Linked DNA regions of Macaca fascicularis. The protein of the gene in region 5 interacts with the protein of the main gene of each other region in a pairwise test. Links are inferred from orthologs where the notes say so. Each region holds a gene or a part of one and is shown on either strand. Other genes may lie near its edges. The genes, in order: EIF3E, SDCBP, MAGEB4, RAP2B, RUNDC3A, AP1M1 and CCNL2.

The links.
Region 1: the proteins of RUNDC3A (region 5) and EIF3E interact in binary tests that used the Homo sapiens proteins (3 or more experiments, as listed by UniProt). The two-hybrid records come from large-scale screens. The link is inferred for Macaca fascicularis from reciprocal best matches to the Homo sapiens genes RUNDC3A and EIF3E.
Region 2: the proteins of RUNDC3A (region 5) and SDCBP interact in binary tests that used the Homo sapiens proteins (3 or more experiments, as listed by UniProt). The two-hybrid records come from large-scale screens. The link is inferred for Macaca fascicularis from reciprocal best matches to the Homo sapiens genes RUNDC3A and SDCBP.
Region 3: the proteins of RUNDC3A (region 5) and MAGEB4 interact in binary tests that used the Homo sapiens proteins (3 or more experiments, as listed by UniProt). The two-hybrid records come from large-scale screens. The link is inferred for Macaca fascicularis from reciprocal best matches to the Homo sapiens genes RUNDC3A and MAGEB4.
Region 4: the proteins of RUNDC3A (region 5) and RAP2B interact in binary tests that used the Homo sapiens proteins (3 or more experiments, as listed by UniProt). The two-hybrid records come from large-scale screens. The link is inferred for Macaca fascicularis from reciprocal best matches to the Homo sapiens genes RUNDC3A and RAP2B.
Region 6: the proteins of RUNDC3A (region 5) and AP1M1 interact in binary tests that used the Homo sapiens proteins (3 or more experiments, as listed by UniProt). The two-hybrid records come from large-scale screens. The link is inferred for Macaca fascicularis from reciprocal best matches to the Homo sapiens genes RUNDC3A and AP1M1.
Region 7: the proteins of RUNDC3A (region 5) and CCNL2 interact in binary tests that used the Homo sapiens proteins (3 or more experiments, as listed by UniProt). The two-hybrid records come from large-scale screens. The link is inferred for Macaca fascicularis from reciprocal best matches to the Homo sapiens genes RUNDC3A and CCNL2.

Annotation. Positions count from the first base shown.
Region 1 is NC_088382.1:117,762,878-117,766,753, reverse strand, and holds part of EIF3E (eukaryotic translation initiation factor 3 subunit E), read left to right. Parts: intron 1-739; coding exon 740-857; intron 858-3,876. UniProt on the Homo sapiens protein: Component of the eukaryotic translation initiation factor 3 (eIF-3) complex, which is required for several steps in the initiation of protein synthesis.
Region 2 is NC_088382.1:68,556,550-68,560,425, reverse strand, and holds part of SDCBP (syntenin-1), read right to left. Parts: intron 2,479-3,876; coding exon 2,303-2,478; intron 852-2,302; coding exon 680-851; intron 1-679. UniProt on the Homo sapiens protein: Multifunctional adapter protein involved in diverse array of functions including trafficking of transmembrane proteins, neuro and immunomodulation, exosome biogenesis, and tumorigenesis.
Region 3 is NC_088395.1:30,249,635-30,253,987, reverse strand, and holds MAGEB4 (melanoma-associated antigen B4), read right to left. Parts: upstream 3,164-4,353; 5' UTR 2,934-3,163; coding exon 1,890-2,933; 3' UTR 855-1,889; downstream 1-854.
Region 4 is NC_088376.1:56,125,596-56,130,119, reverse strand, and holds RAP2B (ras-related protein Rap-2b), read right to left. Parts: upstream 3,026-4,524; 5' UTR 2,558-3,025; coding exon 2,006-2,557; 3' UTR 532-2,005; downstream 1-531. UniProt on the Homo sapiens protein: Small GTP-binding protein which cycles between a GDP-bound inactive and a GTP-bound active form. Involved in EGFR and CHRM3 signaling pathways through stimulation of PLCE1.
Region 5 is NC_088390.1:65,368,619-65,372,494, reverse strand, and holds part of RUNDC3A (RUN domain-containing protein 3A), read right to left. Parts: intron 2,552-3,876; coding exon 2,436-2,551; intron 2,085-2,435; coding exon 1,936-2,084; intron 1,771-1,935; coding exon 1,685-1,770; intron 461-1,684; coding exon 371-460; intron 267-370; coding exon 186-266; intron 37-185; coding exon 1-36. UniProt on the Homo sapiens protein: May act as an effector of RAP2A in neuronal cells.
Region 6 is NC_088393.1:16,523,304-16,527,179, forward strand, and holds part of AP1M1 (AP-1 complex subunit mu-1), read left to right. Parts: intron 1-2,610; coding exon 2,611-2,767; intron 2,768-3,876. UniProt on the Homo sapiens protein: Subunit of clathrin-associated adaptor protein complex 1 that plays a role in protein sorting in the trans-Golgi network (TGN) and endosomes.
Region 7 is NC_088375.1:233,376,289-233,380,790, reverse strand, and holds the start of CCNL2 (cyclin-L2), read right to left. Parts: upstream 3,081-4,502; 5' UTR 3,059-3,080; coding exon 2,771-3,058; intron 2,416-2,770; coding exon 2,341-2,415; intron 2,087-2,340; coding exon 1,977-2,086; intron 1-1,976. UniProt on the Homo sapiens protein: Involved in pre-mRNA splicing. May induce cell death, possibly by acting on the transcription and RNA processing of apoptosis-related factors.

The DNA.
Region 1 (3,876 bases), on a different chromosome or scaffold from region 5:
TTTAGTAGAGATGGGGTTTCAGCATATTGGCCAGGCTGGTCTCGAACTCCTGACCTCGTGATCAGCCTGCCTTGGCCTCCCAAGTTCCTGGGATTACAGGCGTGGCGCCACTGCCCCCGGCCTATTTCTTAGTTTCTTAATGAAACATTAAGGTGTTACCAGAGTTGGTTATGTGCAAGTTTTCTCCACCTTTTCATCGTATAGTAAAAGGAACAATAGAATTTGGTTTGAGAGGTTATAGAGCTGGATTTATAGTTAAAAGAGATTATTTAATGGATTTAAATTCCATTCAACCTAGTGGATAGCCTGTAATAGTAATATGTAAGCCCCTCTGAGTTTTTGTTAAAAAACTCCTGGATAATATTCACCTAAGAAAATTAAATGGGAACAAATATAAAAACCCTTGGAATGAAGTTTCTGCAATGGAGAATTAAATGATAGATAATTGGGTCCTACCCTTTTTTTCTTTCACCTCTGTCACCCCAAGGCTGTATATTCTCCAGTTTCCCTTAAGAGTAGAAAGAGGATTCCCTTTTCCTTTTTGTGGTTTTGTATTACTAGAAAAAAGAAATTAGGGATTGGGGGACACTTCTGAGTGAGTAGCCCCTGGCATATGAATATATTGGGGATGAGTAAATGTATGTATGGTTTAAATACTCTGAACAATTTCCAGACATTCTCATGATGAGTAGCACACTTTAACATGCCCATTGTAGTACTCTTTTGCATTTTTAATTAGCTTTGAGAGAGAAAAGAACCACAGTGGTTGCACAACTGAAACAGCTTCAGGCAGAAACAGAACCAATTGTGAAGATGTTTGAAGATCCAGAAACTACGAGGCAAATGCAGTCAACCAGGTAAACTCTTCTTAATTTTGAATTCGAAAAATTCTCGTTTCTGGATTAATACAAATGTTAATTCAAATTTTATCCAGTATCCCACAGTAAAAGTTCATAGGTTTAAATGAGTGCTTTATTCATTTTTAAATGTTCATTTATCCTTATTTTGTAGGGGCCAGTATAATTAATAAATATTAATATTAATACTGTTTTTTTTTTTTAAAAAAACTTCTTTAGTACTTATCTGTACTGATTATGCTACAGAATTTCCATCTCCTATTTCCCTCTTCCTGGGGACATTTGGCAATGTCTGGAGATACTTTCGGCTGTCATAACTGGGGGGTGCTATTGGCACCTAGTGAGTAGAGACCAGTTATGCTGTTAAGCATCCTACAGTGCACAGGACAGCACCCCTCCCGCTACTCCCCAACAAAGAATTACCTAACTCAAAATGTCCATTAAGAAACGCTGTGCCACTGTGTGGTGGCTCACGCCTGTAATCTCAGCACTTGGGGAGGCAGAGGCAAGCGAATCGCTTGAGCCTAGGAGTTCGAGACCAGCCTGGGCAACATGGCGAAACCCTCTATCTACCAAAAAAATAAAAGCAACAAAAAATTAGCCAGACGTGATGGCGTACGCTTGTAGTCTCAGCTACTTGCTACTTGGGAGGCTGAGGTCAGAGGATGGCTTGAGCCCAGGAGGTGGAGGTTGCAATGAGTCAGTGTCATATCACTGCATTCCAAAGTAGGTGATGTAGTGAGATACCATCTCAGGAAAAAATAAAAAAGAAACCCTGTGCCTGTGCAATACCTAGCGCTTTAGAGCACAACTCGTTATAAGAGAAACCTGAGTTCACTTTATTCCTGGCTACATTCTTTCCTACCCTTCTAAGCTCCATGCCTCGCCCAAGGAGGGTAGTTTTGAGCTGATAAGATTATTTTATTCCTAACTTCCCTTTACCTGGAAGTAGATTTACTGTTTCGTAAGCATGTTGCCTTACTCTGACTTAGTACATGTCACGGGTAGAAGTCCTTTGGGTTATTAGAAACATTTAAAAATAAAATCTCTTACTAAAATTGAATATTATCATTTGAGATAAATCCTAGCTACCATTGAATTCACTTGAGGAATTGCTGGATATTTTGCCATGTTATACCTTTAATTTCTATGTGTTTAAACCAAATTTTTAGAGATTGGCTCTTAAGTTTTCCTTTGTGATTTGTGAAGATGTTACCAGATATTTTTAGAAAAGCAACAAATACACAATTACTGTGCCATACTATAGCATACTATACTATACTATGACATATACTACATATAAATACAGTCAACTCTCTGTTCTGCATCTGTGGATTCAACTAACTGCAGATTGAAAATATTCAGGAGAAGAACCTAAAAAATAACAATACTGCAATAAAAAATACAAATAAAACTACAGTATAACAACAACTATATGATATTTACGTTGCGTTAGGTATAAGTAATCTAGAAATGATTTAAAGTATATGGGAGGATGTGTATAGTTTACATGCAGGTACTGTGCTATTTTACATAAGGGACTTAAGCACCTGCAGATTTTGGTATTTGAGGGGGCTGGTGAGTAGAGGGTAGGCGAGGTCTTGGAACTAATGCTCTGGGGATACCAAGGGATGACTATATGCAGGAAAACACGCACACAGAGAGATATATATATACACACACATTACATGCATAGGCAGAACTATCTATTATACTAAACTACTTGTATGCTTTTAGAATAAGTAGTTTTAGATCTTCAGGTCACATGTAGGTGATTACAAAGGGACACCTGAAATAATCCAGTTGTTAGACTACAACAGAAAATTTAGGATGTTGTAGTTCAGTCACTCAAAGACTGGGGAGTTATGGGATCAAAGTATGAATAAGATGAATGTAGATATGTTCACCAGTTAGAAAAAGAGGATCCTTATAGCTTAATAGGTACTGAATTTGAGATAAATGAAAGGATCATGTGTTAAAAACTTGTAATCTTATTATACTTACAAACTACCTATTTTCAATGTGAAAACCTTTTTCTTGCAATTCCCCCTTTTTAAATTTCATTGAACATATAGTATCATACTTAACACTTTCCCGGAAATAATCAGCCAGAGGACAGTGATTATATACGTGAGTGGTGTAAGTAGTGCAATACAAAGTTATTCACTGTGATCCACTGCAAGTGTTCAGTTTTGGTGGAAGTTCTGTGTTGGAATTTCATGTACATTTCATACTCAGTATTATAATACACCTATATTTTTATGGGGACATATCTCACCCCATTAAATCTTCAAGCAAAATTGTGCTCTCTAAGATACATTGTAGCGTATTTCTTCTGTGAGAAGGATAAGAAAATGTTTTCATTTTGGAACATGCAGTCAGGTGCAGTGGCTCACACCTGTAATCCCAGCACTTTGGGAGGCCAAGGTGGGCAGATCCCTTGAGGTCAGGAGTTTGAGACCAGCCTGGCCAGCATGGTGAAACTTCATCTCGGTGGCTCACGCCTGTAATCCCAGCGCTTTGGGAGGCCGAGGCGGGCGGATCACAAGGTCAGGAGATCGAGACCACGGTGAAACCCCGTCTCTACTAAAAATACAAAAAATTAGCCGGGCGCGGTTGTGGGCGCCTGTAGTCCCAGCTACTCGGGAGGCTGAGGCAGGAGAATGGCGTGAACCCGGGAGGCGGAGCTTGCAGTGAGCTGAGATCGCGCCACTGCACTCCAGCCTGGGCAACAGAGCGAGACTCCATCTCAAAAAAAAAAAAAAAAAAAAAATACAAAAATTAGCTGGGCATGGTGGTGCATGCTTGTAATCTCAGCTACTTGGGAGGCTGAGGCAGGAGGATTGCATGAACCCGGGAGGCAGAGGTGGCAGTGAGCCGAGATCGTGCCAGTGAACTCCACCCTGGGCGACAGAGTGAGACTCCGTCTCAAAAAACAGTAACAACGAAAATGCTCATAAGGTGGGCAGCTACCCTTATATCCCCTGTCCCTTGATGTCTTTATTATCAGTTTGTCTTT
Region 2 (3,876 bases), on a different chromosome or scaffold from region 5:
GCCTCGGCCTCCCAAAGTGCTGGGATTACAGGCGTGAGCCACTGCGCCCGGCATTTTTTTCTAGTATTTCTTACCAAGTTTAATTGTACACTATTTTACAGCTAGTAACCAGTTTGCTTAAGTAAACTGAGTTGAATATTTTAGTCAAAAAAAAAAAACCCTTTTCCTTTCTGAATATTAAATAATTTTCCCCATATACAATACTACCATCTCCTCTTAGTTAACTGTGTATTCTAAATCAAAGTCTACGAAATGAGGAGGTCATGCTTAAAACTTTTTGACCTTAAGACAGACTTATTTAGGAATTTGTGGAGGAGAAAAACTATAAAAATAAAGTATTAATATGAACCAAAACTATTATTCATTTCCTTGTATTCCTGGATTGAGAAATGTTGGGCAACTATTCATTTAGAATGTCATAAAAATCTTTGTTGCCCATATTTCCACAGAATTCTAGTGTGAGGTACTTCTGAAATCATTGATTCCACCCCCCTTGTTATAGGAACTGTAGTTCTAGATAACAGCCCAAATAATTCCCGTGACTGGCTAGAGCAAGAACCCAGGCCCCACGTTCCCCATCTCCCACCTAAGTCACTGAAAACAGCACCACCTAAATACAGTCAAAAGACAGACATTTTCAAAAACTGCAGCAGAACATGGCACAAAGTCTGTTCCTTACCTTCAATCCAATGACATTCTGTCCATTGATTTCACAGATGTTATGTTCTGTGAGAAGACCATTTCTGGCTGCAGAGCTATCTTTCACTATGGATGTTATTTTTCCATTTTTAAAGATAAAACCAACATGTCCAGTGCTATCCTTATGCATGGTAATCGTCCGTTCAAAGGGCCTACAAACATAATGGGTTATATTAAAAACTTAATTCTAAGGTAAACATTTTAATGGATTTCATATACCATAAATGTTGCCATATTGGACACTTTTATAATAAACACTGTTTCTAATAAGAGCAACTTACAGCTCTGATTTTATACATTCACAGAACATCTTTGTGTAAAAGTTTTTTTTAAGTTTATTCATTATGGTTTGACTGATTTACTAATCAACATTTCCTTCTTTAAGTATCAAAGACAACTGCTTTATATGGTTTTATCAATGTTTTTCCTTTATAATTAATCAGACTTTACAGCATTAAGAATAAGATAAGCTTTTTAACTAAATCACAGTGGTAAAAATAATTTTTATTTTTTATTAACTTTTGGTATTTTCTACAGCCAAATCATATTTAGGAACTATTTCTTTTGTTTAAAACCTCTAAAATATTTCTCACAACTTGACTTTGAAAATTTTATACACTGCTATATTTGAAAAGAAAAACTAGAGCAGCAGTAAGACGTTAAGTTCCTCAAGCCCCTTTGGAAAGGAAGGCATGCAGCTATTATTAAAAGGCATCCAGCTGTCCCTCTAAAGTTGTTACACCAGTTACGTTTGCTTGATTCTCTATAAACTCTGTTATCATGTTATCATAAGGGTTTTATGATAAACTTGTGTTTACAATATTAAATTCAGAAGAGGCATTTCTTCCTGTTAGTACAACTTACTCTTTGAAACTCTGCTTACAGTAAAAAGGACATTCATCTGAAACATTTACTAAATACCTAAACTGAATGAGCAACTGGAAACACAAAGATAAAACAGAAGTTTCACTGAGAAGGAACAAAAACTCAAAAGCTTACTATAGCAATGTGATATAGGTCTACCCTTAATTGGGTAAGGAGTAGACAAGAAAATAAATGGAGGCCCCTGTTTCATGTGCTAAATGTTTAAGGTCTAAGTGAATGAGCTGCTAAACAGAATATTCCATGTTCTTGGAAACTACTGCTTCATAACTACCCAAAAGTCTTGATACGGTTTTCAGAACTCCCACACTACTTGGAAGTCTGCATGGGCTGTGACCCTCACAATGAGGCACCACTGTGATAGTATGTCTACAATTTGAGAGTCCTGATAAAACTAGGCCAGATGTATCTAAGCAGTAAGTCGGAAAGTGAGCTCAGAGATACCCTGCTACTCAGTTACTTCTCCAACATACATTTTCTATTTTCTAGAGAGATTTGTCCTATAAATTCTGAAATAAGGTATCATATCAGAATGCTTTAAAAACATGCTTTAAAAACAAACAAACAAACAGTCTGCACCACACAGCTGCAAGACTGTAAGGCTCATCAATAACATTTTATCATTTTCTGCAACAAAATAATACATTCACAGACTCTGAAAGCCCAAAAAAATGGAAAACTAGTATTGAATTTTCATTTGAGCTGTTTAGTAACAGCTTACCTGTCACGAATGGTCATGGTAATCTTCTCTCCAAAAGCCTGTTTGAGCACCTTGTGCGCTTTATCTGAGCTCCACCCTGCACAGTTTTCACCATTGATCTGGAGTACTTGGTCCCCAAATCTCAGACCAACCAATGAGGCTGGAGAATTAGCCTGGACTAGCTGAACAAATATACCCTAGATAATAAGAAAATAATTTTCGTCATTTACCACTACTATGATACGGTTTAAAATGCTGGAAAATTAGGAAACAACTGTTTGTTAAAAACTCTACCTTAGTGATTAAAAAAAAAAAAAAAAGGAAAAACTATAGGAGTCTATCCAGTTATCACCTCAAAAGAAACTGAAAAATTTATCAAGACAGTAACTCCAAAGAATACGGCAAAAAAGTGAGATTTCAATGGCAATTTTTATACCAAATCATAACCCACCTGACCAACCACAATCCCCCCTTTCAACTTGGAATACAAAACTAAGGAAAATAGAGTGGGACAACTTTAATAAATGCAAGTGTCTAATGAGTCTGATAGAATACCAGATTATCAGTCCATAATCATATTTAGGGGAAAAGCAAGTCACATATTAAAAAGTTTGGTGAGTTCTTTTACAGCTTAATAAATGACAGTTTAAGGTCATAATTCTACCTTTTGAGCTGAAACATTCCTTTACCCATTGGCTAAATTGTGTATAATCAAGTAAGATTAAAGTTTGTCAGACTAAAAAGATGGGCATATTAAATCCACATGTACAGGCTTATAAAGAACACACAAATAAATACAGAAAACTCAAGTACTGTTAACAAATAACTACTTACATGGATATTTTTACTTACGTAAAATCTCAATCAGAAGTTGAACAAAATATAAATAGATAAGTATAAAAGAAGAATAAGCCTGGTAAATAAAATGTAAGTGCATCTACCTCAATCCTAAGCTAGGTCACATATTTCTATCACGCATCTGTTACATTGTAGAGTGATAAGCAAGAACTAGGTAGCACCCCATATAAGAAAAAAATGCCCTTTGGCCAAGTGAACAAATCCACTGCAAGTATTTCCTACAGTGGGGCCAAGGGGCCTATGAAAAGTATCTTTTCTCTTTAGGACAGAGGAAAGAACACAAGAGGAATCCTGGCGGAAGGGGCAGCAGTATCCTCTATTCCCTGAAGATTTTGGAGAAAGGGCAGCAAAGTCAGAGCATCCCAACCAAGCACACAGATGTATTTTGAATAAGATACAAGTGAGCAAGGCCATCATCGATGGCCTCAGCCCCCTGGGTGGGCAGGCAGGGTTGGGGCTTCCTGCCAAGATCAGCCTCCTCCATTTACAGCAGTGCACCACACTTACCATTTTCTGTGTTGAAAGGCTGGATGCACTAAGCTACAGATGTATGACTGAAACTGAATCCAATAAGGTAATGGCTGAAACTGTAAATTGGGGTAAAGACTCAGCACGTCCTTAACAATTCTAAATGGTTCCTCAGAGAGTAACCCTGTTTCATATATTCAGTATATTAAGGTGAGAGGTAATTATAAAGTAATGGCTGCCCTAATTAGAAAGAAACTTTTACTCAAAAA
Region 3 (4,353 bases), on a different chromosome or scaffold from region 5:
TTTACCACCATCAAAAATCTAGATCTCCCTTAGAATTTGCAAAAACACATGAAAGGAAAAAAATTCGTTTTAATGGAATGGGTTCTGGCTGCCCAGCTGATAGCAGAGTATTAGCCCAGTGGCTTATGAGTTTCCAGTCTTAAAGGAGTATCACCCTTATTTCTCAGAAACACTCTGGGGACTACTTGCATAAAACACCTAGTTTGTGTACTGGATTCACTTCACTTGCACTGGGACAAGAGCACCGGCCACTTTCAATCCCTGCTTCTAGGCAAAGATTCCCTCTGGTTTTTCCGCAATCTCAAAGTAACTGTTAAAGGCAATTTTTCATTCCAGTCTCCATCTCTGAAGTCTGAGATCCACCATTTGAGTGTGTGACCCCTGCTCAGTGCACCCCATCTAGGCACTAGGCCGGGACATAAAATTACCTCCTATTGCAGTATGGTCGGTTTCCCAAAGTCTCGATTACCTTGCTTAGGACATTTACACTAGATTCCACTGCTGGAAACACCCCCACCTTCTTTCTTATCCCCTCTTTTCACCTGTCTTTAGGTCTTAGGGAGTATCTCATCACCTTCATTATATGATAGCTGCTGTTGGATTCTAAAATTCTATGGGCAGGGATTGGGGGTTTTTTGTTGTTTGTTTGTTTGTTTGTTTTTTAGTTTATCCGGTACTAGCCAGGAGCCCTCCAAAGAACAGCTGCTCAATTAATATTTGGACGATTAAAGTGTAAGTGACCAGGAAGTCAAATGTATTGCTATTTAATTTCCCCCACATTCCTGAAAAAGCTAAGCCAATCCGGGTACATACACTTCACTTTTACAAAGAAAAACTAAAAAGAACAAAACAAAGCAAGAATTGACCACATTTTACTTTTTTTTTTCTCTACTTCATGGTCCCACCAACTTTATTGCAAGGTAATTTCCTTTTCACAAATTTCATATTCCAATTCCATATTATCTTGTTCTAGATCACAGGAAAAGACTTAAAAGATTTTTAAATTGTTTTACATAATGCAAAAATTCTCGCTCTTCAACCTGTTATATTTTAATAAATGAGTGATTCATGCCTTTCACAAACTTAGATTCTGAAACTAAATAAATCTACAATTAAAAAAAAGGACACTGAAAAGCAGGAAAAAGAAAAGATAAATCATTTTACATACAAATATGTTATATATAGTGTTCCCACCAACTCCCCTTTGGCCCTCCATTAATTAGAAGGTTAAGTGTTTTGTTAATCAAAAGTAAAGAATATACCTCAGACTTCACAAGGAGTGGGAGACACTGCTGGACACCACACTGAAACATGCCAGACCCAGTTGCAACACTATCTCTGGCTCTCTCTCCCTCATCTCTCCAAGTCTTCTCTTAATGGAGGGAAGACAATGGGGACACTGTCATTGACCTTGGCCCAGGCCTCCACATTCTTGAATAATCTAAGCAAACCAGGTATGTAACTTTTAAATTTATGAACAAAAAAAGACTGAACGGAGTAAGACAAACCATGAATAAAGCAACTTTTACTTTTCTTCTCTTTCTATCTTCAGATTCTACCTATTTTACTGTGAAGTTATTATAAATTTCTAAGGATAACCTTACTCCCATGCCATGTTATTTTGCTCTGTATCACAAAAATGATTTCAGGATTTTCTATTTGTATTTCTAAAACAAAATTCTTATTACTAAACCAACCTGATAAACAGCAATAAGTGTGTGATGCATGCCATTTCTAAACTTATATTCTGAATCTAAATAAACTTTCTATTTTAAGAAACATCACTAGAAAATACAACAAAGAGATAAATCAACAAGTTATTCATGCATCACAGGAACAGAGAAAGCAACAGGTCTTTCAACCACAAAATGAACAATTTGCCTTAGATCTCACATGGGGTGGGAAGAGCTGCTGGATGTGGCCCTGGAATACGTACTAGTCACGGCCGTAGTGCCACGCCTGGCTGCAACTCTGGGCCGGGCTCCGGTTCTCTCTTCTTCATCTCTCAAAGCCTCTTCATAAAGGAGTGGGAAGTTATTGGGGGTGGTGTCATTCACCTTGGCCAAAAACTCCAGGACTTTCATCTTGCTGGTTTCTGCATAAGCTCTTGGACCCCACAGGAATTGATAGCGTGGGGGATCACTGTTGGGCACCTGTTGGTATTCCAGATATTTTTCCTGCACCAGATCTTGGGTGATGAGCTTTCGGGGTTCCCCAAAGATAAGGTGCCTCTTTCCATCATAGATCCCCAACATATTCAGGAATTCCCAGATTTCCTCTTCACCGGCACAGTTGCCGTTTAAGAAGATCACACTCAGTAGAGGCATCAGAAGCCCGTTTCTCGGAAGGCTCCAGGCACTGCTCTGGTTTCCATCATTGGTGGGGCCTAGCATGCTGACAAGGATGTAGGAGTGAGTGGTGGGGTTGACCTCCTTCAAGGCAAGGCCAAAGACCAGCTCTGTGCGCTGAGAGACTTTCCTGAAGATCTCAGGGAAGTGCTCCTTGTACTTTTTGCTGATGATCTTCAGCATTTCTGCCTTTGTAGTGGGCTCTTTCATTTTATACTTGTACAGCAGGAACTGCACCAACATCTTCGTCTTCCTGGTTAGAGGATCTTTGAGTGATCTCTCAGTGGATGTTGAGGCCTGGGAGGAACTTGCATTTTCCTCATCTTGGCTCTCTTCACCTTCATCAGGTCCAGTGCCTGACATAGCTGCAGCAGCAGGGGTGGTGCGTGGCTCTCTCTGAGGCTTCTGGGGAATGCCCAAAGCAAGGGAGCTGGAGGGAGTATCCCCCAAAACAGATGAGGAAGAGGAAGGAGACTCTTCTTTCTCTGCTGCAGTAGCCTGACCAACCTTGAGATCCTGGGTCTGAGCACGGGTCCGCTGGCGTTTCTCACGGGCACGAAGCTTACTCTTCTGACCCCGAGGCATGATGGCTGTGGTTAGGCACAGCAGGCAGGAGTGTAGGCAGAAGGGCAGGTGATGTGGTTCCTGGAGAAGAGTGAATGAAATCCTGAGAACACCTTCAGCAGGCAGATACTACCTTGGCTTTTCAGAAGCCGCCTCTGCAGGATTCCTTGAGAACACTGCTCTAAGTATTCACTGGGCTATTGTTCTTAGTCATTCTGTCCCCTGAGAACTCAGCTGAGGAAGTTACAATGTGCCTTAGGCTGCAGCTTGCCAACCCTGCCTGGGGCTGACTGGGTGACAACAAGCCTCGCAGTTGGGATCTCTGTGTTCAAGCTTGGAGAGGATCCACTCTGATTACCTTTAAAATTATCATGTCAGCTCTTGGCAGGGCCTGAGCCTCTCTCTATTGGTGTTGTGAAATTGACTCTTTAGTTTTCTGGGACCCAAATGAACGAAGTCCAGGGGCCCCTCAACCCACCACCCCTGCCTAGAAGCATTTAGTACTCTCTCTTTAGGTCCCAGATTTGCACTCAAGATCCTCATCTGGACTCCATGCAAGGTTGTGGACTGTCTCTTCTGCTGACTGATAACTGCGACTTCGGAACAAGAATTTCACCTTTTCTAGTTCTGATATAAAATGTGATGGGCATCTAAGAAAAAAAAATTGATTACCTGGACTTTGCTAAATTAAAACTTCTGCTCTGCTAAGGATACCACAAAGAGAATAAGATAACTCCCAGGTTGGGAAAAAATTATTTTCAAAAGACATATCTTATAAGGGACTGTTAACCAAAACATACAAACATTTCTTAAAACTGAACAATAAGAACTGACCAACCCTATGAAAAATGGGCAAAAGATCTAAGCAGGCACCTCAACAAATAATATATATGGAAGGCAATACATACATGAAATGATGGTCAACATCACAGGTCATTAGAGACTTGCAAATTAAAACAATAATGTGATACCACTACATACCTATAAGAATGGTCAAAATCAAAAACACTGATAACCCCAAATACGGATGAGGATGTGGAGCAACAGGAGCACACTGTCATTGCTGGTGGACATGCAAAATGGTACAGCCACTTTGGAAGACAGTTTGTAAGTTTCTTACAAAGCTATGCATACTCTTATCATATGATCCAGCAAGTGTGCTCCTTGTTATTTAGCCAAATGAGTTGAAAACAGTATGCCCACAAAAAAAAAAAAAAAAAAAAAAAACCCTGCACACAAACGTTTATAGTAGCTTTATTCATAATTGCTCAAATTGGGAAGCAACCAATATGTCCTTCAGAAGGAGAGTGGGTAAATTAATAGAATAAAGTATTATTCAGCACTAAAAGGGAATGAACTATCACGCCACAAAGAGACATGGATGAAACTTAGATACATATCACAGAGTGAAAGAAGCCAATTTGAAAAGTCTATACATTGC
Region 4 (4,524 bases), on a different chromosome or scaffold from region 5:
CTATTTCCAAATCAAAACCTCAAAGGGGTTGAGACAGTGTCCACAACCTACTCAAATGTACTGCAAAAAACATCACTAGGTATAACTTAAGAATTGAAAACCATCTTTCCCAAACATGTTTTCGACTTGATGTGTGATATAAACATGGGGAAAAAAGGAAGAAAAATTTTAAAGCGCCATCCTACTTTGCCAGATGGATGGTTACTTTCCCAGATCTAAGGCAATTTTAATAGATGGGTTCTCTTGTTCCCTACCTACAATGAGGTAAACTGTTCCACATCAGATCAGATTCAAAATACCTGTTCATCTTCTAATCAGATGGTAATGGCCATACCCAGGGCTTCCTCGACCTTGATGGTTTTCTCCAAATTTAAAAAGTTGGGAGTAGTGTCATCCATCTTGTCACTGAGACACTTCTGTCTTTAAAATTTCACAAATAGCTCGGGAGAGTATCATGCACCTACCCCATCCACCTCAGCCATGATACTGTATTAAATCACTGAATATGAAACACAGAAACACAAACAATAGTTTTGGGTTTCTTTAAAAATGACATTTGTATTAAAAGTCTTAAAATGAAGAGACAATGATTAAACGCATGAAATTAAAAATTACAATTAGTTAGAATTGGTACATCGCAACAGTAAAATTTTGCTCTTTGCTTCTGGAGGAACACCCTACAACAGGTAATTTAAAAATTTAAAAATAATATAAAAGGGGAGCTAAATACCTGAAAACTTAAGCAAAATGAAGCAAAAAAAAAAAAAAAAAAGGAAACAAATTCATTGCAAGAGATGGAAATTACATTTTAAAGGCTGAAAATAATAAAGAAATTCACTAAACAACAGGCCCTATTGTCCTGGCTCCTTCTGAAAGATTATTGAAAGGAAACTGGGAAGTGGTTTGGGGAATAGCAGATTCTGGGATATGGTGGGAAGTTCACAGGTTGGCACCGGCTGGAACAGCTGAGTTTTGAAGGCACTCTGCAGACACAGGGGTGCTGGGGGCCCTGAATCACATTTACAAAGTCTTTGTACTGTATTTTAAAAAGCTAGTCATTAAAATCGGTTACTGCCAACCAAAAAACAAAAACAAAAGGCTAAACTTAAAACACACACACACCACACACACACACACACACACCATAGTACACACGAAAATGTGCAGATCTGTAACATTTTTTTCACAGCTGATTAAAAAAAAAAAAAAAAACTACCGTTCTCCCCCAGACTCCCCTTTGATACAGTAGGTAAACAAAATAGATTTTTTTTTTCCACAAATATCAGCAGACACTTTCTGGCACCCCACACTGTATTGGCATCAGTGTTAACAGTCCCAGTTCAGATGTGCAATACTTCAGATTGGATACACTGTAACAAGAATCCAACTTTGCATAGACATCCTCAGAATCGCAATCAGTCATGGGGTTGCCCTTCCAAGCTGGCAGAAAAGGAACCCAATCTTAACTTCCAGCTACTCCTGGAAAACAAGGAAAAAAACAAAAGTTTCTTCTTCTCCTCCTGCTCCTTCATATGGTTCTCCCGGACTTCCTTCCATGTATTTAAAACTTGGAACTAGAAAAACGGTTGTTGACCAAAAAAAAAAAGAAAAACCATTTCCACCTTCTCCCCCTCCTTTTCCTCCACCCCTCCCCCCTCCCATTTTTTTTCCAGGCTGAAACTTTTGCTTGGTGGGTGTCAAGCTGCCGATACTGCGCCCTAACGGCTACTTAAACGGGGAAATATGCATCAACCAAAATCAGGGAGAAACGTACATGCTGCAAAGAACCACATTTCCACCAGAGTATCAGATGGGCAGGACGGGACACCCCCTCGGGTACAGGGTGGAGGCAGGGGACGCCGGCCGCGGAGGCCAGCCGGGCTCCCAAGACACCCTGGCCAATGCAAAGTGGTCTCCAATCTCAAAGCAAGAAAGAAATCACATTTAGAGAGTCGGATGCGTTTGGCTTTTGTGCGCAGAGCGCGGCCGGCGCGCGGCGGCCGCCTCAGAGGATCACGCAGGCCGAGCAGCAGCCCTCATCGCCGTTGGGCTGCGCCGCGTAGTTCATCTGCCGCACGATCTCGGCAAACAGCTCGTCTACCGAGGCTTTGTTTTTGGCCGACGTCTCCATGAAGGGGCAGCTCCACTCCTCAGCCAGGGCCTTGCCCTCGCCGTACGAGACCTCGCGCTCGCCCTCCAGGTCCACCTTGTTGCCCACCAGGATCATGGGCACGCGCTCGTACCGCTTCACGCGGATGATCTGGTCCCGCATGGGCTTGATGTCCTGGAAGCTCTGCTGGTTGACGAGGCTGTAGACCAGGATGAAGCCCTGACCGTTCTTGATATACAGGTCCCGCATGGACGCGAACTGCTCGGTGCCCGCAGTATCCAGGATCTCCAGCACCGACGGCGACGAGTCCACCTCAATCTCCTTGCGGTAGAAGTCTTCGATGGTCGGGTCGTACTTCTCGATGAAGGAGCCCGTCACGAACTGCACGGTGAGCGCGGACTTGCCCACGCCGCCCGAGCCCAGCACCACCACTTTGTACTCTCTCATGGCTCCGTCAGCGCTCTCGCCGCGCCTGCCGCGGCCCCGTCGGGGCTGCGCGCCGGGGAAGGCTGGGCTTGGCGGCTGGACTTCTCTTCCCCTTCCTCAGCTCCTCAGGAAAAACCCAGGAGAGAGTAGCCCAGAGAACGCAGGGCGGAAACCACCGAGCGGGGGCCGGGCGCCGGGCCGGCCCGCGGCGGCGGCGTGTCCCTGGGGCGCGGGTCGGGGCCCCGCAGCAGTCCGCGGCGGCAGCAGCAGCAGCCCGGGCGGCGAACCGGGAGGACAATGCCCGCAGCCTGCGCGAGGCGATGGCTGGAGCTCCTAGCTGCGGCAGCCCGGGAGGGCGGGGAGGCGGTGGCGGCGGGCTGCGGAGGTGGCTGCTAATTGCGCGTCGGGACGGGACGCGCGTGGCATGAGTCCCCGCGGAACGTGCGCCCACCGCCGCGGCCCATCGCGCTCTCTCCCGCAGCCTCTACTGGGCGAGGGCTTCCTACTCGCCGCGCGCAGCCCGGCCCTCCCCTCCCCGGCGAGCATGCCCAGTGCGTTCCGGCCGCGCCTTACCCAAGCGGCCGCTCCTGGTTTTCCGCGGGGCCGGGAGGGGGCGGGGATGTAGGCGGGGCTCCGGATTTGAGTCCAGTTTGGGGAGTGGCGCGAGTTAGGAACTGGCTGGTAGATGGGGTGTGTGTGCGTACACTGGAGCGAGGAAAGCGGTGTAGGGAGTATGCAGGCCGCTTTCTTTTACAGCTGTGGGAGTGGTGGACAAGGGCGGCGGCTCTGCGAGAAGCATGTGGGTGCGGCGGGCCGCCTCAGGATAGAGTAGGCTGTGGTCTTGCCAACTCCCGTTATCAAAGGCCCAAGGACGCCATTCACCCAGCCCCGGGCGGGCGTGTGTCTGGGGCCGGAAACCCGAAGTCATGTGGGTGCCGTGGAATGCACGAGCAGCCGGCGGAGCATCCCGGCCCCATAGATTTTTCTACACCGTTCGCCACAGAAACGCTACTCTGTGCACTGCAGCCTTGCACAAAGAAAACAGGAGGTACTCCAAGCCTGAGATACTGTCCCGACTAGGAAAGGGGTAGCCTCTGGTACCTGCAGCTCTCTCGGGGCAGGGTCCAGCGGGTCGTACCCACCTCCCCGCTCGGGTGCGGTCAAAACCCGGAGACTAGATTACATCCCAATCCAGAAGTCTCCGGGCGCCCGCAGTTAGTTCAGGGCATGCTCAGTCGCAGAGCAGGTTTTTGGGCTTGGAAGTAGGAAGCTTTTGCACCACACACCCACACTCTAGCTCAAATTACCTCTCCCAGACTCCGCACTCATTGGTCTCGGGACGCGAGTCTCACACCCCTAAGTGTTGTTGATTGGCTGCCGACAAGGCTTTATCAGTTTGGTGCGCTTCATTGGCTAAAAAGTAGCCTCCGCTCGCGATTGGTTATTTATAGAGATTGAGAGGAGAGGCGGAGGCACAGCTGTTCTTTCTCCGCTGCTTCCCCACCCCCTGCCTCCCACTTCCCCAACCCAGGCGTTTTGAAGTAAAAGTGAAAAAATAAGAGGCATTTAGGCTGAGAGCTCAGAACTAAATATAGTTCTTTGTTGGTGTTTTCGAGAGAGTCTGACTCCTCGGTTTCCAGTCACGACTGCCCCTCAAAGGGAGCACAAAGGGCTAATTACAGGTTTTGGTCCGCAAGAAACCTCAGAGTTGCCAAGTTTTTTTGCAGGGAGTGGGAGGGGGGCGAGGAGCCGAAATGGGCCACTTGGAATTCGTTTCACCCGGAGGGGTAGGGGAGTGTCCAAGCTTGCCTCAGAGGAAGCGTCTTCGCTGGCTGGCGGACAATCGCTAGACTTAGCTGGGCTGGCGCTCCCGGGAGGTGCGAGGGAGATGCCCCGACTTGTTCCGACTCCCTTGCTCCTCTCTGAGGAGGGATGTCAAGACCTGTCTGCAGGCTGAGCGCGGCGGCGCGCGCCACGGGTGCGGGGTG
Region 5 (3,876 bases):
CTGTGCCGCTCCTCCTCGTCGGTCAGGTAGTCGTAGCTTGGGAGAGGGAGTAGTGGGCACGGCCGGTCCCGCCCCTCCCCACGCGCGTCTGCGCTGGCCGCCGAGGGCAGGGGGACCAGGATGTCCCCAGGATGTCCTGAGGACCCCCCCGTCTCCCGCCCCGCCGCAGTCATGGAGCCGCTCACCTCTGTGTAAACTTTAAGTAGGGCGTGTAATCGATGACCACGGGTGTCTTCCCGTCCAGGACTTCCCCCTTTAGACAGAAGCTGAGGCAGAGGAGCCACAGGGTTGGGGGTGGGTGTGAGGGGTTGGGGTAGGACATTTGTCGGGGAAACAGCCCCCTCCACCACTGCCCTCAGGCAGACCCCACCTGAAGTCGATGGCGCTCAGTCCGATCAGCATTCCGGTGAGGATGGTGGCTTCGTCCCGCAGCATGATGGCTCCAGAGTCGTAGAACCGTCTGTGGGGAGGCAGAGGGCCTGACAGTGCAGCAGGTCCCTGGAGCCCCTCCCCAGAGCTGCTGTTGTTGGCTTACTGCCACCCCATCCTGAAGGAAGGCCAATTCTCCTTCCTGATATGCACGCAGGCCTGGAGCCTCTCTCCCCCCTCAGCCTGGGGCTGGCACCTGTGGCCCCATCACCTAGAATGAGTGCTCCCTGAGCCGACTCCTCCCTCTGAGCTACCCCTTCCTCATCAAGTACTGGGTTACCCAGATCCTTCATATCAGGAAGCGAGTCTTAATCATTAGTGCTTGGTATACAGTAGGTGCGCAAAAAATGTGTTGACTTGAACCTGGAAATGTGTAGACTGAGGAATGGAATTCAGCAAAAACATCAGGCTGGCTGTGGCCAATTGGGATGCGGAGGTACACGCCCCCTGCCACACCCAGACAGTTTCAGATGCACCTGCCCACATAGGCACACTTCTCCTTGTAACCCCTTGACTCAGGCACCCAACCTCCCTGTGAACCCACAGTGCAGGGGTTGAACTCCCCACATAAGGACTCTGTGTCCGTGAATAGCAAGTACAGAACTGCCGCTGTAGTTTGGAGAGCCAGAAGGGCTGTGTTGTAGGTCATGGAGCAAGCCAACACATGAGATGGTGCATAGCTGAGGCTCATCCAGAGGTGTGCCAGGGCGGAGTGTGCTGGGCAATGATGTCGAATAATGGGCATTAGATTTGACTTGCAAGTGATGGTGGCAGTGGTAAAACTTTGTCCTGGGGCCGGGTGCGGTGGCTCATTCCTGTAATCCCAGCACTTCGGGAGGCCGAGGTGGGAGGATCACCTGAGGTTGGGAGTTGGAGACCAGCCTGACCAACATGGAGTAACTAAAAATACAAAATTAGCAGGGCGTGGTGGCGTATGCCTGTAATCCCAGCTACTCAGGAGGCTGAGGCAGGAGAATGGCTTGAACCCGGGAGGCAGAGGTTGCAGTGAGCTGGGATCGCACCATTGCACTCCAGCCTGGGCAACAAGAGTGAAACTCCTCCTCAAAAAAAAAAAAAAAAGAGTTTGTCCTGGGACTGCAGGCCAGGCTGGAAGAGGGAAATCAGCCGTGCATGCTGGTGCTGGGACTTGTAGTCCAGGAACTGAAGGATGCTGCAGGAACTTAAGGATCAGCTGTGTTTGGGCAATGCAGGTGCACCCTGAGGCCTGTGGTCTGAGTTGCCTGGGAAGTCTGACCTGGTGGTCCGGGTGTCGCGCAGAGCCGTGGTGATGTATTCTGACATGCGCTTCTCCATCAGTGCCACCCGGATCCATGCCCGGCCCTGGAAATCACGTTCACTTTTACTTGCTGCCCCAGAGAGACTCATGTGTCCAGCATCAGGTGTGGGCCCTTCTCCCCTGGGCTGTGGACAGGGGGTGAGGACCAAGAAACAGGCAGGCCCCCTGTGTCCAGAGCAGAGAGCAGTTGCTTGCTCCAGGCCCCTCACCTTGGCCCGGGCTGTGCTGATGTTCTCCATATTCTCGATGCTGCTCACACAGTTGTTGGGCACTTTGCTGCAGGCCAGCCGGATATAGTCCCAGAAGCCCCGCTGCCCGTCTGAGCTGAACCAGCTCACTGGACCTGCTGGGGCACAGGCTGAGCCAGGGCAGGGAGCGGACTCAGCAAGACCAGGGAGTTTAGAGAGGGTCCATGTAGTGAAGCACTCACATGCATAAGTATAAGCAGCCTCCTCCCACAAAGATCTGTGCATACACATGCATGTATGCAGTGGGCACCCCAGCATATAGCTTGCCCACTGATGGGGATTGTAGGCCAAAGGCGTCTCCCACTTCCCAGATTTGTACACAAGCTTCTGCGCATGGTCCAGGATGGGAGCCAGGGTCAATGAGGGGATTCAGAGTCCATGGAGTATATCAGAATGAGGTGGCTGGGAGCTAAAGGCTGGGAGTTGGGGAGGGACCACTGGAGGAGGGACCCTGGGCCCACCTTTGAAGCGGTGGCTGAGGATCTGCTCTAAAATGGCTGCAAAATTGACAAACTCCTCTGATGAGTCATCGATGGGCTCCGCTGTGTACTTCTCCAGCAGCGTTTTCACAGAGAACCTGGGTGGCAAGGTGGGGAGACAGGGCAGTGGGGTGTCAGGTGAGGAAACAGGCTGAGACAGGGAGCAACTGGCAGAGAAGAGGTCAGGAAGGGCATGGATGTGGTGGGGGGCAGAGGGAGCGGGGAGACAGGCAAGACTACAGTGACCATAGAGGTACCATGTCATGTGGAGTGAGAGGGTGGCAGGTGGGGAGGGAGGGTGACAGGTGGGAGACTGATTGACAAAGTGGGTGACAGGAGAGGTGACACCCAGAGAAAGGAAGCTTCGGGAACAAGGGGTGAGAGGGACTGAAAAAATAGGAAGATGAGGTGCCACAAGCCGGGGGCGGTCCCAGAGCCTGTTCCCCCAGACCACCCTTCAGGGTCTGTGTGTGCGAGGCTTGGGTCAACTAGGTGTTAGAAGCCGGTGTGTGCCCCACCCTGAGCTGTCTTCTGTGATTGCTGGAACAACCTTCAGTCCCTTTTGGGGATGGGGTCACCTGTACCAGGGCATGTGAGTTGGCACTGTGCACATGGAGTGTGGGCATGTGCAGGTGGCCAGGTGGGCTCCCAGCACACAGATACCCCCTTCCCCCTTTCCTTCCCGGCTTGGCCTCCCACACACCAGCTGCCCAGAACCAGGCAGTGCAGAGCTGGGCGGGGGTGGGGTGGGGAGGTGCGGGGTATGGGCCTGACACAGACACTGGGCAGGAGGGGGCATTGGCAGCAGATCCTTGGAAGGGGCTTGGGGGCCTAGCTTCTTAGGAGGAAGGGACCAAGGGAGACCTGTGGAGCTGAGGGACTGAAGCCATGCAGTGCCCCCTCTCCAATCCTGTCTACGCCTCAGGCTCCCTCTGCAGTCACTACCCCTGCAATCTCCCCCTGCCATCCCTGCAGTGGAGTGGGGCAGGGATGAGGACACAGTTCCTAACATCCCATGATTTCCCTGTTGTGGGTGGCAGAGCAAGGGCGGGGTGTCCAGGGATAATGGGAGCTGCTTGGAAGTGTCCTTTTCTTCTTATATTTATCAAGCTCTATAATGTGCCAAGCACAGTACTTTGTCTGCACTACCTTATCCATGCTCAGCCCTGAAAGATAGGCCCTCTTATCACTCTCATCCCCATTTTACAGATAAAGAAATTGATGGTCCAAGAGGTTGACTGATCTGTTCAGAGCTACATGGCTTATGAGGAGTCAAGCAGGTATGTCTGATTCTGATTCTGAAGACTCTGCTCTTTCTGCTACATCTGTGGCCTCCTGGCAGCTATCGTGAAGACCTAGGCCTGGAGCAGCCCCTGCTCCACTGCCCTTTGTCCTCTACTACACAAGTCTCCAGCCCTGGAGC
Region 6 (3,876 bases), on a different chromosome or scaffold from region 5:
CTGCTCTCCTCCCTTTCTGCCCTCCTCAGGGCTGTGGAGTGGCTCAGGCCTACGTGTGCCTCCCCATGCTGTCACTCTTCCCAGGTGGGCTTTGACTCATGTCCATGGGCCGGTGACTCTCGACTTTGTCCACAGCACTTCTCTGGAGATCCACTGGCCTCTGGGACACTAGGGAGGTCCCGCCATCACCACAAATTCAGCATTTCTCTGAATGCATTCCCTGTACCTGCTCTCTCTCCATCTCAGTGATGCCATCACCCATTCAGCCACCTGCACTGGAGACCTGGACATTATCCTCGCTTCCTTTTTCTCCTCACCCCCATATTCACTCCACAAATGTTTACTGAGCACCTACTATGGGCCAGGCCCCGTTCTGGGTGCTGGAACACAGCTGTGAATGAGACAGGAGTCATCGCTGTTCTCAGGGGATGTCAGACAATAGACGAGGATACAGATAAATGTATAACGCAGCAGGTGATAGGGATAAAGCAGGGGTCAGGGTGCAGAGGGATGGGACATGATCTCAGCCAGAGCAAGCAGGAAGGACTTCTTTTTTTTTTTTTTTTTTTTTTTTGAGACAGAGTTATGTTCTATCATGCAGGCTGGAGTGCAATGGCACAACCTCGGCTCACTGCACCCTCTGCCTCCTGGGTTCAAGTGATTCTCCTGCCTTAGCCTCCTAAGTAGCTGGGGTTACAGTCATGCACCGCCATGCCTGGCTAATTTTGTATTTTTAATAGAGATGGAGTTTCACCATATTGGTCAGGCTGGTCTCAAACTCCTGACCTCATGATCCGCCCGCCTCGGCCTCCCAAAGTGCTGGGATTACAGGCGTGAGCCACTGCGCCCAGCTGGGAGGACCCTTAGAGGAGGTATCATTTGAGCTGAGCCTTGGGAAGTGAGAAGAGCCAGATCAGGGCAAAGGCCCAAGGTGGGAACAGATGTGGATCACTCAGAGACCAGCTAAGGGGCCCGGCTGGAGGGGAATGGACCAGGGCAGCGCAGGCAGAGAGGCGTCAGAGACTGTGAGGAGCCAGACCACGCCGGTCCTTGGGAGCCACGGGGACGGACTTGGGCTTTGTTCTCAGTGCCGGGGAGGCTGGGGTAGGTGGCAGTTCAACAGTGGGAGAGAGACCCCATCTGGCCTCTGTGTGGGAAGAGCCCTGCCACCCTTTGTGAGGAAGGACCTGGGGGGGTCAAGAGTGACAGCAGGGGAAGGGGCTGGTCCCTCAACACGTCATCACCTGCCTCCCTCCAATCAGTCCCACAGGCCACGAATGAGACACTAGGAAAGGAAGGTGCCACCCTCCACCACCCCCAGTCTCTCCTTAAGAGAATAAAGTCAGCGTGTAATGAAATGCCAAGTTCTGAGGCAGTTGGTTCCCAGGATGGTCAGCACCGCAATGGCCTTCTCAGCGCGTTGCCGAGTCCTGCAGCTGGCTGTCCTGCAGGCCCCAAGAGCTGCAGCTGCTCCAAGCAGCATCTCCAACCGCAGCCGTGCCCAGGCTAGCAAAACTTCCGACCTCCTTTTTTTCTTTAATGAGATGTAATTTGCACTAATAGCCTGCACTTATCTAAAGTGTGCAATTTGATGAGCTCAGTCATGTGGGAAGCCATAACCACACATTCCATCGCCCCCGAAAGCTTCCTCACGCCCTTTTGCTGTCCAGCCCCATCCCTACGCAGCCACCGATGTGTTTTTCATCACCATTTTCTGGGCTTTTATACACGTGCGGTCATACAGGATGAGCGCTCGTCTGTCTGGTTTCTCTCAGCCAGCACAGTGATTCTGATGCGCCCGCGTATCGGGAGTCCGAGCCCTTTCGTTGCCGAGGCGTGCTTCTCATGGTGTGCACGGACAGTTTGTTTCTAGTTCACCTGCTGAAGGACATTGGCATTGTTTCTAGTCTGGGTCTGTTTCAGTTAAAGCTGCTGTTAACATTCTTGTGCTAGTCTTTGTGCAGACATGTGGTTTCATTTCTCTTGGGTAAATACCAGAGAGAGGAATGACTGGATCGGATAGTAACACTGGGTTTCACTTTTTGAGAAACTACCAGACTGCACCAAAGTAGCTGTCCCATTTTCCTTTCCTCTCAGCAGTGGACAGGGTTTCTGGGTGCTGTATATCCCGACCCACAGGCTATGAAAGAGAGAGACCAGCAAGAGGGCTTCTCCTCTTCAGGCCACCGGTGGACTTCAGTCAATACGAATCTTCAGCGGGAGTGGGCGCCCTGACACAGGCGGGAGAGCAGGGTGCGTTGGCCCGGCAAAGGCTCTGAGAAGGTCTGCGTTGAGAGCTTGTGAGGCATTACTTAACCTGATGTCTCTGAATGATTCGGTCCTGGACCTTTGCCGCAGAGTTCCCCTCTACCCTCACCCTGCAAAGAACTGCAGTGGCCCCTGTGGACGTTCACACTGGGAGATGCTCTTCTCCAGGAATTCCCTGGGGGATGGAGATCAGCACGGCCTCGAGTCCTGCTCTTTTGCGGATAGGGGCCATGACCGGAGTCCCCAGAGGGAAGCAGGCTGGTGCATCTCACCCCCTGCCCCAAGCCCCTGGATTGTAGAATTGAAAATGCAAGCATCATTCCTCTTCCTTCCCCACCCCAGGTGCTCATCTGCCGGAACTACCGTGGCGACGTGGACATGTCGGAGGTGGAGCACTTCATGCCCATCCTGATGGAGAAGGAGGAGGAGGGGATGCTGTCGCCCATCCTGGCCCACGGAGGGGTCCGTTTCATGTGGATCAAACACAACAACCTGTATCGTATCCCTTTACTGGGGCGGCTCCCAGGAGACTCCTGTGTGGGTGTTGGTGTGTGTGCACGTCCACACGCCTTCAGCCGGGACTGGTTTGTGCACAGCGGGAGCATTGGATACAGCCAAGCCCTCCCGGAGCTCCCTGCTGCCTGCAGAGACAGGCAGAGAATGCACGATGACACGCGTGATGGGTGCGGGGAGAGGAGCAGGTGTGACTTGAACTTCTTTGGCCCAGGGGCCCAGGAAGGGAAGTGACACCCTGGAGGAAGCCTGCAGGGAGGCCTGGCGTCTGCCAGCTGGAGGGGCAGGCAGGCACTAGGCGTGGGTGAAGGCTCTGCAAGGGAAAGGCTCATTCCAGCAGCTGCAATCGGGGTGGCTGGAGCCCTCGAGAGGGGGCGTGTGGCAGCAGTGAGGCCGGAGTGGTCAGCGGGGTCTGGGGTCTCAAAGAACATCATCTGAAATGTGACAGAAAGTCTTTGGAGGCTTTTAGATGTGCATCTTCTGGAGGTTTCTGGCTGCTGAGTGGGGCAAGACTGTGGGGACAGGAGAGGACATGGGTAGGTGAGGAGTAGGCTGGGGCCATCGTGCAGGTGGGAGGGGAAGTGGCCTGGACCACGGAGGGGTGGTAGGGTACAGAGAAGGGGAGAGACTTCTCACAGCCCCACCCAGATCTCAGAGTCCCCCACCCTTCCTGTCCTTGGGCCCATGGGGAGACTTGGCCAAGCCAGTTTCTATCCAGGAGGTCTAACTGGCCACCCCACGGCTTTGGGCAGACCTGCAGGCCCATCTCAGTACCCACACTACTGCGGAAGGGCCTGCTTTGCAGCCACAGCCTGGTTTGAGCCCCAGCTCCAGCAGCCATGGGGCTGGAGGCGAATCCCTCACCTTCCCACAGTTTGGTGGGAACAACGACCCCTCGCTGCAGGACCATTCGGGTCAGTTGAGCTGACTTGTGCACATTGCTCCCAGCAGACATGGGCTCTCTGCCCTTTCCTGTGTTCTTGGAGACACTTGGGGCCTTGCCAGTAGTACAGTGTGGCCAATGGGCCAGAACATCCCCTGGGAGCCCTTTGGAAATGCAGAATCCCGGGCTCCACCCAGCCCTGCCCTGTCAGA
Region 7 (4,502 bases), on a different chromosome or scaffold from region 5:
AGGTGTGAGCCACCATGCCCGGCAAGGCCAGGGTTTTATTTTGTTTTGAGACGCAGTTTCACTTTTGTTGCCCAGGCTGGAGTGCAATGGCACAATCTCAGCTCATTGCAACCTCTACCTTCCGGGTTCCAACGATTCTCCTGCCTCACCCTCCCGAGTAGCTGGGATTATAGGTACCCACAACCACACCCAGCTAGTTTTGTTTTTTTTTGAGACGCAGTCTTGCTCTGTCACCCAAGCTGGAGTGCAGTGGCACCATCTCGGATCGCTGCAAGCTCCGCCTCCCGGGTTCACGTCATTCTCCTGCCTCAGCCTCCCGAGTAGCTGGGACCACAGGCACCCGCCACCTCGCCCGGCTTTTTTGTATTTTTAGTAGAGACAGGGTTTCACCGTGTTAGCCAGGATGGTCTCGATCTCCTGATCTCGTGATCCACCCGCCTCGGCCTCCCAAAGTGCTGGGATTACAGGTGTGAGCCATCATGCCTGGTCAATTTGTGTTTTTAACAGGGACGGGGTTTCACCATGTTGGTTAGGATGGTCTCGAACTCCTGACCTCAGGTGATCCACCTGCCTAGGCCTCCCAAGGTGCTGGGATTATAGGCAGGAATCACCACACGCGCCTGGCCAGAGGCTGTGTTTTACTTTTATTTTATTTATTTATTTTTTGAGACGGAGTCTCGCTCTGTCTCTCAGGCTGGAGTGCAGGGACAGGACCTCAGCTCACTGCAAGCTCCGCTTCCCGGGTTCACGCCATTCTCCTGCCTCAGCCTCCCGAGTAGCTGGGACTACAGGCGCCCGCCGCCACGCCCGGCTAATTTTTTTGTATTTTTAGTAGAGACAGGGTTTCACCATGTTAGCCAAGATGGTCTCCATCTGCTGACCTTTTGATCCGCCCGCCTCGGCCTCCCAAAGTGCTGGGAATACAGACGTGAGCCACCACACCCGGCCGAGGCTGTGTTTTCTAAAGGACTTCCATTAACTTCAGGTGCATAAACCCTGGGTCAGAGACAACGGTTCTCTGCTGGAGAAATTTTGCTATTCCAGGGCCGTGAAGCAACATCAAGATACTTTTGGGTTTTTTGTAAACAGGATCTCACTCTGCCATCCAGGCTGGAGTGCAGTAGTGACATCACAGATAACTGTAGTCTCAATCTCCTGGCCTCAAGCAAACCTCCTCCTTCAGTATCCCAAGTGCTGGGATTACAGGTGTGAGCCACCACACCTGGTATGAGAGAATTTCTGGCTGTCACAACTAAGGTGGGGTACTTCTGTCATCTAGTGAGTAGAGGCCAGGGATGTTGCTGAATCCTGCAACACATAGGAGAATCCCCTACAACTAAAGATTACCCAGCCAGATGCGGTGGCTGACACCTGTAATCCCAGCGCTTTGGGAGGCAAAGCCCAGCAAATCCTTGGGGCCCAGGAATTTGAGACCAGCCTGGGGAACACAGCGTGACCACATCTCTACCAAATAAACAATAAAAATTAGCTGGCATGGTGTCGTGCTCCTGTAGTCCCAGCTACTCAGGAGGCTGAGGCAGGAGAAACTCTTGAGCTTACGAGATTGAGGCTGCAGTGAACCATGATCATGCCACCACACTCTGCCCTGGACAACAGGAAACCATCTCAGGGGGAAAAAAAAGATTATCCAGCCTGAATGTCAATAGTGCTGAGATTAAGACTCCCTGCTGTAGAGCGTTCGGAAACCTGTAGGAAAGAAACAGCAACAGGGCTGTGCACTAGCGCCGGCATGAACCGCCACAGTGCACTATCCTCACTGGAGGCCCTGCCCTCACTGAACAGCATCTGCCAATGCCTCTGAGCAGGCCCTGTTCGTGGAACTTGAGAATGCGCTCACGAACATCCCACATGTTTAGAACCTCAGGCCTGTACTGTTATACAAGTGTCACTGCAGCTTCACCAGAAAAAAAGGAAACAGACACCTATGATAGACTAAACAACTCCGACCGACTCACTTTTTCTCTCTCAGCTGTCGAAGGCGGTGAAACACATTGATGACGTCCCGTATGCGTCTCGGAGCCTCTTCTATCTTGGAAGCCAGGTGGACACAGGCCATTGACACATGCTGAAGCGAAAGCATTGCAACACGCCCATGTTTGTCCCCAGCCACGGCGTCCTCACGGCCGCCAAAGGCTTGAAGGCTATTCAGACCAAAAGGGAGGTGCACCCAGGGAAAAAAGAAACCAAGAAACAGAACCCTCCGGCACAGAGCTCAGACTGGGGGGCAGGTACTCGCTCCCCTGAGTACCCGGGCAAAATAACAAACCGTTTTCCCCGTAACATATTTCGCTAGGAATGAAGTGCAAGAGGAAACCTTACCTCCATGGAGTGCTTCACGAAGGACTTGGTATAAAAGAACCGCTGGAACAACACCTGCCCGGTAGCCATGGCCACCTAGAGTAGAAGAAAGTTTCTGTATTTTCAAACGCACCATTCAAAGCCTTCGCAGCCAAAAGTCATCGAGTAACGTGGGGACTCCCCACGCAAAACCAAACACTGAAACGCTTCCCACGTCCACAAAGGCTCTTCGCGTCCCGCCGTCGCGGGATCCAGCGCGCTGGCGGGCGGGGAGGCCCTGGGTCAGGGGCACGGGCTGGCTAGGGACTGGAGTCGCGGCAGGGGCTGCGGTCGGGGCAGGGGCTGGGCTCGGGGTCTGGGCTGGGGCGGCGCGGGCCCGACTCGCCGCCAACAAAGGGCGGCTGCCGCCCCAGCGGTTACCTGGGCCCGAGGCTCGCGGCCGCGCCCTCACCTGCGGCAGGCGGAGCAGGATGCCGGCCGCCTGGATGAGCTCGCAGCCCACCACGCGGAGGTCGGTCTCTGTGTCGGTGTCGAGGCCACTCGACATGGACGGCGTGAAACGGAGCTTGTCGTCAGGCAGGAGGCAGTTCTCCAAGGTGATGAGCACCCCGGAGTACAGCCTGTCCCCGATCAGCACCCCCTGCGACCCCGAGGGCGCGCCCCCAGAGCCCGGGGCGCCGGCCGCTGCTGCCGCGGGAGCGGCCGACCCTGCAGCCCCAGCCGCCGCCGCCGCCGCCATTTTGTGCCGCCGACTCCCCTTCGGCTTCTTCCCGCAGGGCGGCTCCTCGCGACGCTCCACGGCCACCACCGCCCCGCCTCGTCGCGTGTCATTGGTTCGGCCCGCGACCAGCGGGACGCCGCCTAGCGGCAATTGGCTACGCAACCTGCCCGTCAGCAACGCGCCAAACGCCGACGCCGGAACCTGGCGCGGGTGGGGCGGACTCGTTACCCAGCAGGCTCTGCGGTGCCGGCCGACCCCGGAAGCGTGTCTGTTCCGAGCGGAGGCGCGGGTCGCGGGTGCGGTGCTGAGAGCGCTTGTCTGTGCGCCCCGAGCGGGGCTGGGACTCTTCCAAGATGCCCACGTTCGCACAGAGACCTCGGATCGCGGAAGCTCGCGTCTCAAAACGCCTGTGGGTCAAGGGTGTCCATCTCGGTCGGATCTGGGGCGGGACGACCCCCCACTGCTGTTCCCTGGGCGCGGGCAGGGTCAGAGGCTCCGCTTGGCCTCGCCCTGGATGAGACGCGCGTGCCCGGAGTCACCCGGCCGCCGTCGGCGTCGTGTCTTCAGTCCTTGTTGACTCCAGGTTTTTGGGATGCGTATTAACGCCAGACTCCCGCAAAGTCTTGCCTTCAAAACTCAGCCGCTGGGGAGACACGGGTGGAGGGGGGACTGGAAACGTGGCCTCGACGCCTCTACAGAGCCCCTCCAGCATTGGGAGGCCTAAGTACCTCAAGGTTCAGGCCCCCGGAAGGAGTCGGGGGAGGGAGGTCCGGTGCTGTACGTGTGAAGGAGCTACCCCACAAACGCCAGGGAGACAGTGAGGGAGGGGTTCTTGGGTTTGTAACGTCTTAACATCGCTGATCGACCACAGCTGTGCAGGAGGGGCAGTAGGTATCTGTTGCTACAGTTACCGGAACCTTTGCCAGGACTAGTGCAGAACCACGGGTGAGGATAGTGGGGAAGCCTGCGTGGGGCAAGGGAAGGGTGAAGCAGTGAGAAGAGGGAAGGGCAGCAGAGGCCTGAGTGGTTGCAGGTTCACACACTGAGCTGCCAGTGACTGCCTAGCTCAAACGGGCTCAAATCCAGAGGCCACCATTGCTCCTCACCGCTACCCCCAGGTCCAGCTGTCCACTAGCTCTGCCATGATTGATACTGCAGCTCAAACAGTGCCAACTAAGACCCACTCTCCTCCGCCTGCTATGGGCAACACGGTGTGGTTACAGCTTTACTCCTGTCCTCTTTCCCCAGGCTGGCAGCTCAGGGAGGGATGTCTTGTCTGTTACAACTGCAAGCTCTCCAGTAAAGAAGGAATTTCCTCTTCTACACAGCTGGTTTTTCATTGGTGCTGCTTGCCCATTCCCTGAGCTGTGACTGCCCAAGGAGTGGGAGGTTGGTGGTGCCTCCAGCCAATCAGGGGCAGACCCCGGGGCTGCCTGGGAACAGGACTATGGCACAAACTGAA